3 linked regions of the Mus musculus genome follow. The protein of the gene in region 2 purifies or fractionates together with the protein of the main gene of each other region. This does not show direct contact. Links are inferred from orthologs where the notes say so. Each region holds a gene or a part of one and is shown on either strand. Other genes may lie near its edges. The genes, in order: Tnpo1, Nup153 and Nup133.

Region 1 (3,653 bases), about 52 Mb from region 2:
TTTTTACCACACACACACATTCTGGTTCAGGCCATGACTGTGACTGAATGACACTGTTAGAATAACTGAACGTCACCAGCTCAGCGTACCTCAAGCAAAGGGAAAAGATCCTTGTCTTCATCCTTCAGCATGTTCCATTTCTGGATCAAAGGAGGCATTAGCATCTGAATATATTCCTGTTTACCGTAATGAAAAACAAAAAGCTTCACTATCATCTGCAAACATGTTCATTGAGTCTATAAAACTAAAACCCATCTGGAGCAATTGTGTTAAATTTTTACATTTTAAGACTTACTCTTTAATTCATATGATCCTGATTTAAAGTAATCTATATTTTTTTTAAAAGAAAATGTGTTATCAGTAAGTACCTTAGACCATCAAGATCTACTACTTGTTCTTTTCCTTTTTCAAACAGTCTTATGATGCAGCCCTGGCTAGCCTGGTATTCACTATGTAGTCAGAGCTGGCCCCAAAGCCATTTGCCTCTGCTTCTGCCTCTCAAGTGCTGATACTAGGTGTGTCATCAAACCCAGCATAATCCATACCTTGTTAGATCACAAGCTTTTTTTTTGTTTGTTTTGTTTTTTTGAGGCAGGATTTCTCTGTACAGCCCTGGCTGTCCTGGAACTCACCCTGTAGATCAGGCTGGCCTTGAACTCAGAAATCCACCTACCTCTGCCTCCCAAGAGCTGGGATTAAAGGCGTGCGGCCATCACTGTCCAGCAATCACAAGCTTTTTAAAAAAAAGATTTATTTATGCATTTAATATATATGAGTGCTCTATTTGCGTTTATACCTGCATGCCAGAAGAGGGCATCAGATCACATTATAGACAGTTGTGAGCTACCATGTGGTTGCTGGGAATTGAACTCAGAATCTCTAGAAGAGCAACCATTGCTCTTAACCAGAGACATCTCTCCAGCCCAAATCACAAGTTTTATTTTCAAGCGATAAACAGTTTTGGGGTGGGAAGAGCGGGCAGTGGCTTTATAATACCATCACATTAATTAAACAAAAGGCACAGGCTTTAAAACATGACCTATTCCTCAACGAACCAAACCAGCCAATATCTTGAGCATAATTTAAAACAAGAGTGAGTTACACTTACTGATAACACATTTCCTACAGTGACCACATGTCTTATCAGATATTATTCATATTCAGCAGAGACAGCTGACTCTTGTTCTTAAGACTTCAAATCCTCACTCATGTTTTACACAACTAGAAGCAAGACACTTCAGTACTGCTATTCAGCATTTTCAATCTCTCATTCCCATTCTCACTTTATATAGGCGACTCCTACTGCCTGGTACACTCTGAACAGGAAGTAGAGTGTGTAGATGCAGCAGCTTTGATGCCAGTGTTAATGAAATGGTGCTTACATGGAACTAAGTAAAGGAGCAAAGCCAGACTATAACATCTTCTTTACCCTCTTTCCTCCAGACACTTGAATTTCTGTACTAACCGTAAGTGATTTTCAAAGGTGGAAACGCTAACGGTTCATACTTCACTTTGTAATATACACTATGTATTTATTGCAGTTTATTATTGTAATGTCCCCATAGCAGTCACCCTCAGGTCCTTACTGGCTTGTTTAAATGATGTCCCACTGAATCTGCCAGTGTCCCTATGGCGTCGTACAGAATGAGCAGGTTCTTATGCTGGTATTTACTGAAGGCGAAGACGAGGGTATCGAGTATATAAGCAAGGTAAGGGACGAGCTCTGTACAAGCCTCCTCTTCTAATGTAGCGAAGGCACTAGGATGAGAAAAACAAACAAAAGGAAAAACAATAAATGGTCTCCAGTTCGCAGATGCTTTCACGTCACATCATGAGCACCTTGCTGCCTCACTCTGCATGCTTACTTTGGTTTAAAATTTTTTTTTTCATTGAAAATTATTTGCTTTATGTGTAGATGCCTGAGGCTGTGTTATGTGGCACCGAGTGCATACAGGAGCTCTTGACAACCATAGCATCTAAATCCCTGAAATGGAATTAGAGGGTAGGCTGACATGTACTGCTGGGAACTAAACCCAGGCCCTCTGCAAGAGCAGGTAAGTGTCTGTAAGCCATCTCCCCAGCTTGCCCTCTCCCTTTTTAAAATTTTAAAGACAGGGTCTCATTATGTAGTTCTGGCTGGCCTTGAACCACTTTGTAGCCCTTGTGGCTTTGAGCACAGAATGACACCTGCCTCTGTACCTAAGTTTGAGACTAAAGCTGGCACCATTACAGCTGGTAGTCTAGACTAGCCTCAAATTTGCTATGTAGCCCAGAATGACCCAGGCTGATCCTCACCTTCAGTCTTGACATGACAGGCATGCATCACCATGTCCAATCACATGGCTCTGAGGACAAAGCCCAGGACTTTATGCAGTCACTCTACAAATGGAGCCACATGCTAGCCTCAGTTTGCCTCCCTTCATTTACACACACACACACACACACACACACACAGGAGTACTTAGTCAATGGTGAGCTAGGATGGCACTAAATGGCCAAGCACTTGCCTAGCATGTGTAAGTATTGGGTCTGATCCCTAGATGGACAAAAGGTCAATGGTAAAAGCAGTTCAAAGAATTAGGAATTTAATTGCAGTTCCCATCTTCTTCCCCTGCTCCCAGAAACAGAAACCAGTAGGAATGAAAACAAGCAATTCTGATGTGAGCAGAGCCCAACCACTGGTACTGGCACGTTTTGAAAGATTGTGCACAGCACCATTGAGGACGTGTCAAAAGTCTGCAGGCCATTCAATCTCAAAGTTAAGGTAGTGGATAAGTATCTAAAATGTTGTTATTCGTTTGAAAATCCACCAAGAAAGCAAAGGATTACGACACATTTTGTTTAGTAAAACCGTTAGTAAAACAATTTCTCATCATAACTGCAGCAGTTTGTGGTATAAAAGTCTGCTGGTTTGAAACCAGGCTCTCATGTTCATAACAAACAGTGCTATGGCTCTGTCCTACCTGCAAGCTGCTTCCTGTACTCTCTTGTTGCTATCGAGGATACGCTTCAGCAGTTCTGTCATTAATGGCTTCAGGTACGTATCTGGTGGCTGGCTGACTACCCAGTGTGCATAGCGGCTAAGAGTCCAGCAGGTGATGGAACGCACAAGAGCCTTTTTATCAGAAAGGCACTGAATAAGGTGAGGAATGAGCTCGGGCAGGTACGGAATCATGCCTTGCATACAACCTAGGAAAGAACAGCAATCTTTCAAAACGTGCTATACTCAACTGTATATAGAAAGGACACAGCATCCACTAAGAAACATTTAGTATATTTCCAGGGCTACAAATAGAAAAGTTGATACCAAGCTATTAAAAAACAACAAATCAGAGTTAATTGTTCCTAGGTGTCTTAAAGGAGGTTAAGATTTCATTCCATTTTTTTCCATGATATTTCTGGTTTTCAAAGCACCTATAAATATTTTGAGACAATGTTTATAGTGAAGACAGGACATCAAAATGATGATGACATTCTCGTGTTATCAAGTCTCTAGATTTACCTGAGGAATAAAGTGATTTAAGAGAAATAGCTTTCAAACATTCGATTTCTTTTAGTTTCATTTACTATAACAAAAGCACCCACAGAAAATATGGTTGAACCCGCTGGCTGGGACCAGAAGAGGCCTGTGACTTATACCCAGGAGAAGCTGA
Region 2 (3,653 bases):
ATCAAATAAAGTTGACTAAAACTCTGTAATGTTTATACGTAAATGTGAAACACAATTCATTGTTAAGTATAAAACATTAAAAATTAAAACACACACATAGTTTCAAAGTACAAAGAAAAAACACTATTTTAAAACACCAGACTGTAAGTATAGATGTCAACTATCATACAAACTTACTGGCATTAGCTGTCCCAGAGCCAAATGCAGACTGACTAGGCTGCTGTCCAAACACAGGAGGTTGGCTGCTGCTTGACACTGTCCCAAATATAGGTGGTGGTACAGGCTGAGAACCAGCAGAAAATAATGCTGTTGAAGACGAGATAGAGCCAAAGCTTGGCGGGTTAGGCTGGCTGGCACCTTGACTTTGTCCAAATGTTGGAGTCTGGTTAGCACCAAATGCTGGACTGGCAGATGGTGCTGAATGTCCAGTGCCAAATACAAAGGAGGATCCTGGAGGCCAAGAAATAGTTAAATCAACATCAAGGTTTATATATAATAAGATAACCCTTGAGAAACATTTGTAAATCCACAAATTTCAAGCTACTTTCACACTCTTACCTTGATTACAATTAGATTAGAACAATGAATGACACTGTTTACTAAACATACACTGGTTTAACAAAAGCTTCAATTAACACAACCTTCCCCCTTTGCAACCAACAATCATTTACTAGTAAGAGGGGTGTGCCTGTCAGACAAGGTCTTATAGTATTCCTGGGGCTGGCCTGGAACTGAGTAGCTTAGGCTCAACAATTTTTTCTATAATGGTTTATCTCAAAGACTTGCTCTGAGTCACTGTATAAACACACATCCCATACAACCACTATTACTATCTGGTCGCTTATAAATCTGACATTTCAAAAAGGCAACTTGGAAATGTTATATATTCTTCCTAAAATTAGAAAATACTGTTCTTAAGAATTAGATCTATTCCACCTGAAGTGCCCATTTTTCCACAGGTGAGACCTTAGACCTTACATGAATTGGAGGCACACTGCAGCTGGCAATTCAGCAGAACCAATCCAACTACAAACCCCATTTTTCTCTCCTAGCACAGAAGTACCTGAAGAGCTTGACGTGGTTGTAGCCCCAAAAGTGAACCCAGAAGACACACTATTACTGCTGGCTCCTGTCCCAAATACAAAGGGAGAGGCAGCTGGGGCAGTGCTGGACGTGGTGGCTGGCTCGCTCTCTTGAGGAAATAGCAAAGACTGAGATGTACTGGATTCAGCAGCGTTACCGAAGGCAGAGCTGCTGACAGGATTGCTGGCCTGTCCAAACACAAAGGCTGCCACAGGTGGGTTGGAGGAAGAGGTGGAACTACCAAATATGCCACCACTAGATGAAGTGGCTGGTGCACTTGAACTAGAGGAACTGCTGTTCAAGAAGCTAAAAACTGGCTTTGCTGCACCTTGATCTGCAAAACAATGATTGAGAAACAAACATAAATCCTTAAGGAGGAACAAATCACCTAATATAGTCTCATCAAGTAAACATCAATTCTTTGAAATGTCAAAAGTACTTATCTTTTATGGTCTACAGATTTTCTCTTTACTCAAAGACCCTTAGCATTCAAATAAAAAGTCCTGCTACTATGTGCATAAATTTAATGTAAAATACACTGTCTCACATCCAAATCTAACTTGGTATTATATTCAGAAACCAAATCAGATAGTAGAAGCTGGGTACATTTGTACGTGTCTGTCTGTGCTGTGGTTTATGTCATATTACAATAGCAGCACCCTGACTTCCATTTATCCACATGAACAAATCAACAAAATCTCATCATACTGACTGCACTTGAGTATTTGCTAACTCCTGCTAATAATTAATACACAATGTCACCTTGGTGGCACCCTAAATCTCCTAATCTATACGTATTTCCCTTCGTGGTCACTGTCATTATTATTAGACTGTTATTGATTAGTGCCTGCCTTTCTTCTCACATTCCTTGTGCGTTTACTTTCCCCTACAAATTTCATAGGCAGCTTAGAGCTTGACAAACTCCACAAAAACTAATAACTGAAATGAAAGGAACAAAAGAAATGTTTTCCCCCAGGAATGAGGTTTTTCTATGCTCTTACACTTATCACTGCAGCCATTATAAATTAGAAAGCTGGGCTAGTGAGATGGCTCAGCGGTTAAGCACAATGAATGCTCTTCCAATGGTCCTGAGTTCAAATCCCAGCAACCACATGGTGGTTCACAACCATTAGTAATGAGATCTGGCACCCTATTCTGATATGTCTAAAGACAGCTACAGTGTATTTAGATAGAATGAATCTTTGGGCCAGAGCAAGCGGAGCTGACCAGTGCAAGCAGAGGTCCTGAATTCAATTCCCAGCAACCACAACCATCTGTACAGCTTCAGTGTACTCATACATAAAATAAATAAGTCTTAAAATTAGATAAATAATTAGAAAGCTTAGAAAACACAGGACTTGTTTATGCTGTATAACTACTGATTGGTGACTTGAAGAAAAGCTTCTGATTTCTTATACCACCTGAATCAAACTTCTACTTTCTCAGTATTTCAGCTCTGAAGCTACACACTAGACAGGATGGGCGACTGCTTTCTACAGGTGATAAGATTTCATGATCAAAGCTGGTTACAATATTTCATTTCTCCCCATTTCAAATAATAGGCAGTTTTAATTCTTTTTTTTTTTGTAGGTTGTTTTCAAATTTACACGTAAACATCGAATATGAAAAAACTACTCATGGTTATGTGAATTTCCCATGTGGGGGTTCCCTGAGTGCTTCAAAGGTGTTTAATAAAAAAGTGTCAAAGTTACAAACTTTGCATGTCTGAAAATAGCTACATTTGCTTTTATGTCTGATCAAAATTTTCTAGCTACAAAATGGTTCAAGATGATTTCATTTTATGGGGCACTGTTTGGTACTGAGGATCAAATCCAGGGCTTTGCACAAGCCTTGCAGAATGTTTTCTCTATCACTGGACTAATGCCCAGCTCAGTCGTTTTTATTTTGAAACCAGTGTCTTTTTAAATTTAATTTTTACCTGAATGTGTGTAGGAATCAAATACCCCTGGAGCTGGAATTATAGGCAGTTGTGAACCACCTAAAATAGGTGTTGGGACTCAAAACCTGTGTCCTCTTCAAAGAGCAGTATGCATAACTGCTGGGCCCATCTCTCCAGCCTCAGTGTCTTATTTTATATGCAGAAAATCTTCCTCTAAATTTTCTAATGTTTCCCTATACCACTCTCATTATCTAAGTGAATTCAATTTCAAAAGCACTTTTCAGGTGACACTGCTCTGGGAAACCTCATTACAATAATCAGACCAGACAATGCTCATCCCACCACTCCATCAACCAAACAGCTTTATGTCAACCAACTTCTTTTTAATGAGGTTGTTCCCCACCTCTATTTTAGTTTTCAAATGATCCTGTTTTCTTAGAATTGAATTATATTCACTGCCAATGTTCCTTACATGTTTGATGACTCATTATCCATAATTTGTAAATAAAAATTTACCTAAAACTTATTTTCCCTGACAGTATGCATCAATTCTAATTATAAAATGTCCAAAGGACAGAAAGACATATATAATATGCCCCATTGTGTACTTTCTGTTACAGCTGCATTTCTCAAAATTGGGTCTGTAGATATTTCATCAGAATCATGGGAA
Region 3 (3,653 bases), on a different chromosome or scaffold from region 2:
CCAGAGCAGCAAATGCTCTTCCTCACTAAGCCATCTCTCGTCCCCAAAATAACATTAAAGTGAGACTGTAGGGCAGATTTATTCACAAATTGTTTTCTTTATATTCCTCGGCACTTTGTGAAAAATTAAAATGACACTGAGCTATGATTTCCAGTTATACTGAACTGAAACACATGGTAAGATTTATCCCTGTTACAAATCAAAGAACAACAGATTTTCTTATGGGATTTAGATAAGCAAGTATATTAAGAATAAAGATTTAGTAGCTGGAGAAAGGGCTCTGTGAGAGGATCGCTATGGGGTGGCTCACAGTCACCTGTGCCCAGCTCCAGAGGCACATACAACGCCCCGCCCCCGCCAGCACTGCACTCAATGTAGATCCCCAAACAAACAAGCCAGGGCCAGGCACGGTCACACACCTTTAACACCTGCACATGGGGGCAGAGGCAGGCAGCACTCTGAACTCCAGGATGAGCCAGAGCTACACAGTGAGACTCCGTCTCAAGTAAGTAAAGACTTAATAGACTTAGATGCTACATGAGGTTAAAGGACATGGCTTCCCTGGCAAATGCCAGTTACTAGAGAACGTGTTTAATTTCTGTTTATACTCAACATCACTGATGCTGTCTCCTGGTGGTTTATTTTGTGAGTACATAAATCACAGTCTCCCCTAGGCACATGGAATTTGTTTATAATATAAAGGTCTCAAAACTGAATCCCAGGAAGACACGATAGCACATACCTATAATAACAACTTGGGAGACAAGAGACAAGACTGCATCTTGAATATGTAGTCAGACTAGACTACACAGTCATCCGATCTCAACTACAAACCAACGCACACCCCCCAAAATTTGAATCCAAGTATTTCACCATGCAGCTTGTCATCCAACTTCCTTTCCACTCAATACCGAGCTACAGCGAAATCGTCCAAGGACTGGCTGCGGGCTACCTTCAGTATCATCTTTCTTTACTTCACACTGGGCCAGAGAGGGAGATGGAAAAACAAAACGCACTAATATCTACAACTATTTCCAAATCTTGCCAGTGAGCCTTAAAGCCACCAGTGGCTATGCAGGACTCTGGTGAGCTGTGGCCTCCCTGTGACGAACTTACCTGGAAAGGGGGGTTATACTGAGTCACTTCTACGGTGACTGCATCTGACATCTGGTTACCATTGTCTTCCACCGTGATCACAGAGTAATAGACAAGACAGGGGCTGTCTCCCAGGTGCCACGCTGCTGCCAAAATCAGGAGCCCATCGCTAGAAAAGGGGTGGGAAGAGAAAGGAGGCCTCTGTGTCTGCTGCTGTTGTTGGAGACAGGGTTTCACTATACACAGCCCTGGCTGTCCTGAGATTCAGAGGTCCAAAGGCAGATGCCATTACACCCTGCAGGATTCTTTGTAAAGTCAGATTCTTACAAAATTATACACACCATATAAACTAGAACCCTGAACCTAGATATTTGAATACTTAAGGGAAGAAAAAAAAAACATTCTCACAATTGCCTTAATGCAAATGTTTACAGTGGCTTTATTACAGTAGCCAACCTGAAAACAACTGAATGCCTTCAACTGCTGAGCAGATAAATCCTGATATATCTACACATATTTTCTCTTGAATGCTATCTAGCAAAGGAAATGGAGACATTTCTGAATTGATTTTAAATCAACCATGTCAAGCTGTATTACATAGCATTTATACAGCATTCTGAAAAAGACAGAACTTTGAAGGACGGATCAGTAACTGTCAGGGGCACAAAGGGAGGAAAGTGATCTCTTCTCCCCACTGCCACCTATGTGAGGTTTAAACTCTGCCGAGTGTATGCAGACGTTGCTCTAGCGCTGAGCACCAATCAATCCTGTTCTGTATCAGGACTGTGGTTAAGATGACTATTCTATATGCACCTGGCTTATTCAATCAGCCTGGCTTAGTCTGGGAATTAGCACAGTCCATTACTAAGGTCAAGGTGACCTAAGGCCATGAGCAGCACCTATGCTTGTTCACCCAGCGCTACTGAGGCAGTACCTTGTTACTCATCTAACAGGGTCCTTAAGAGGTGGTCCTATAGGGCTAGGATTCCCTGATTTTACCTATGATCCTAATTGGAAAAACAAAACAAAACAACCCATAGTGCTAGAGAGACTGCTCAACTGCTAAGAGCATTTGTTACTCTTCAGAGGCCTGTTCCCAGCACCCACATCAGGAGGCTCACAAGCATGAAACGCCAGCTCCAAGGAATGTGATGTTTTCTGCGCTCTGCAGGTATACGTATGTGTGTGTATGTGCATAGACATACACACACAGAGTGGGAGAAAGAGACAGAGAGGCTATAAATCTTAACAAAACAAAACAAAACAAAACAAAAACCTCTACAAAAACCCCACGTGGGAAGTAAAGACAGGCAGATTTCTGTGAGTTCCAGGCCAGTTATACAGTGAGCCCATGTCTCAAAACAAAATAATCTCCCACAAACCAAATCCCCCAAAATCCATAAAGTTATTTTAAGCAGTGAAAACAGTAGGTAGTCAATCGAAATTCTGCAGATCAGTAAAACATTGATAAACAGGTTATATAAAAATCTACACGCTGGGGCTGGAGAGATGGTTTAGCAGCTGAGATCACTGGCTTTGCTTCCAGAGGACCTGGGTTCAATTCCTAGTACCTACATGGCAGCTGAGGGCTGTTTGTGGCTCTGGTTCCAGAAAATATGATACCCTCACATAGACATACATGCAGGCAAAACAGCAATGCATAGGAAAAAAAATTTTTTTAATCAATTAAAAAAAGAACCTGTACATTAATAAACTTAAGATGGGGAAATCCCAGCCAGGAATGAGAACATGCCTGGTGCTCCAGTGCTCTAGGGACCGAGTCAGGAGAACCCCAAGGCCAAGGCTAACTTGTGCTACAAAGCTGCCACAAAACAAAGCTAACCTCGTTACATCTAAAATGAGGAAAGCACAACGTTGTCAATAATAACTCAGTAAAGACTCCTAAGTCTTTACAGGGTTTTCAGGTCCTGCTGAGAAACAAGCTAACAGACTCAATGGTACTGGAGATAACCACCCCTCATGACCAGAGGCAGCCGCAACACCTTCCGAGAAGCAAGGACACCGGCTGTGCCACACCAAAACCAGAACATACGGGACACAGGAAACGTCTCCAATTGTCCAGGTAAGGTGGTGTCACGCGCCTTTAGTTCCAACACTGGAGGCAGAGGCAGGTGGATTTCTGAGTTCTAGGCCAGCCTGGTCTACAGAGTGAGCTCCAGGACAGCCAGGGCTATACAGAGAAACCCTGTCTCAAACAAGAACAAAAAAGTCTTCAACTTGGTCTGTTTTCGACAGAGTCTTGTGCATGGCTCACGCTGGCCAGGAACCCCAATCCTCTTGCCTCAGGATGCCTGAGTGATCTGCCAAGCCCTTCCTAAGACCAAGCATAACCATGCTGAGTCTAGCTCGCAATGGAGGACACAGCCTCATTACATCAGCTTAGTCACTGACTGTGGGACAAGAGCTCCTTCACTAACGGTGACGAGAACCCAATGTCTCCATAGAGCAAAGACCACTGTTCAGGGCTCCCTTGGCAACAGAAAGGAGGGGGTGCTGGCATCACCTTAAGATGGAATAAAGACAGAGCCGGGCCAGCT

What was found.
Region 1: the proteins of Nup153 (region 2) and Tnpo1 purify together in Homo sapiens (co-immunoprecipitation; 3 studies listed by BioGRID and IntAct, with this or other methods). This does not show direct contact. The link is inferred for Mus musculus from reciprocal best matches to the Homo sapiens genes NUP153 and TNPO1.
Region 3: the proteins of Nup153 (region 2) and Nup133 purify together in Homo sapiens (co-immunoprecipitation; 3 studies listed by BioGRID and IntAct, with this or other methods). This does not show direct contact. The link is inferred for Mus musculus from reciprocal best matches to the Homo sapiens genes NUP153 and NUP133.

The regions. Positions count from the first base shown.
Region 1 is NC_000079.6:98,856,800-98,860,452, forward strand, and holds part of Tnpo1 (transportin-1), read right to left. Parts: intron 3,190-3,653; coding exon 2,964-3,189; intron 1,759-2,963; coding exon 1,587-1,758; intron 177-1,586; coding exon 90-176; intron 1-89. UniProt on the Homo sapiens protein: Functions in nuclear protein import as nuclear transport receptor. Serves as receptor for nuclear localization signals (NLS) in cargo substrates.
Region 2 is NC_000079.6:46,682,820-46,686,472, forward strand, and holds part of Nup153 (nuclear pore complex protein Nup153), read right to left. Parts: intron 1,418-3,653; coding exon 1,064-1,417; intron 451-1,063; coding exon 178-450; intron 1-177. UniProt on the Homo sapiens protein: Component of the nuclear pore complex (NPC), a complex required for the trafficking across the nuclear envelope. Functions as a scaffolding element in the nuclear phase of the NPC essential for normal nucleocytoplasmic transport of proteins and mRNAs.
Region 3 is NC_000074.6:123,932,251-123,935,903, forward strand, and holds part of Nup133 (nuclear pore complex protein Nup133), read right to left. Parts: intron 1,265-3,653; coding exon 1,117-1,264; intron 1-1,116. UniProt on the Homo sapiens protein: Involved in poly(A)+ RNA transport. Involved in nephrogenesis.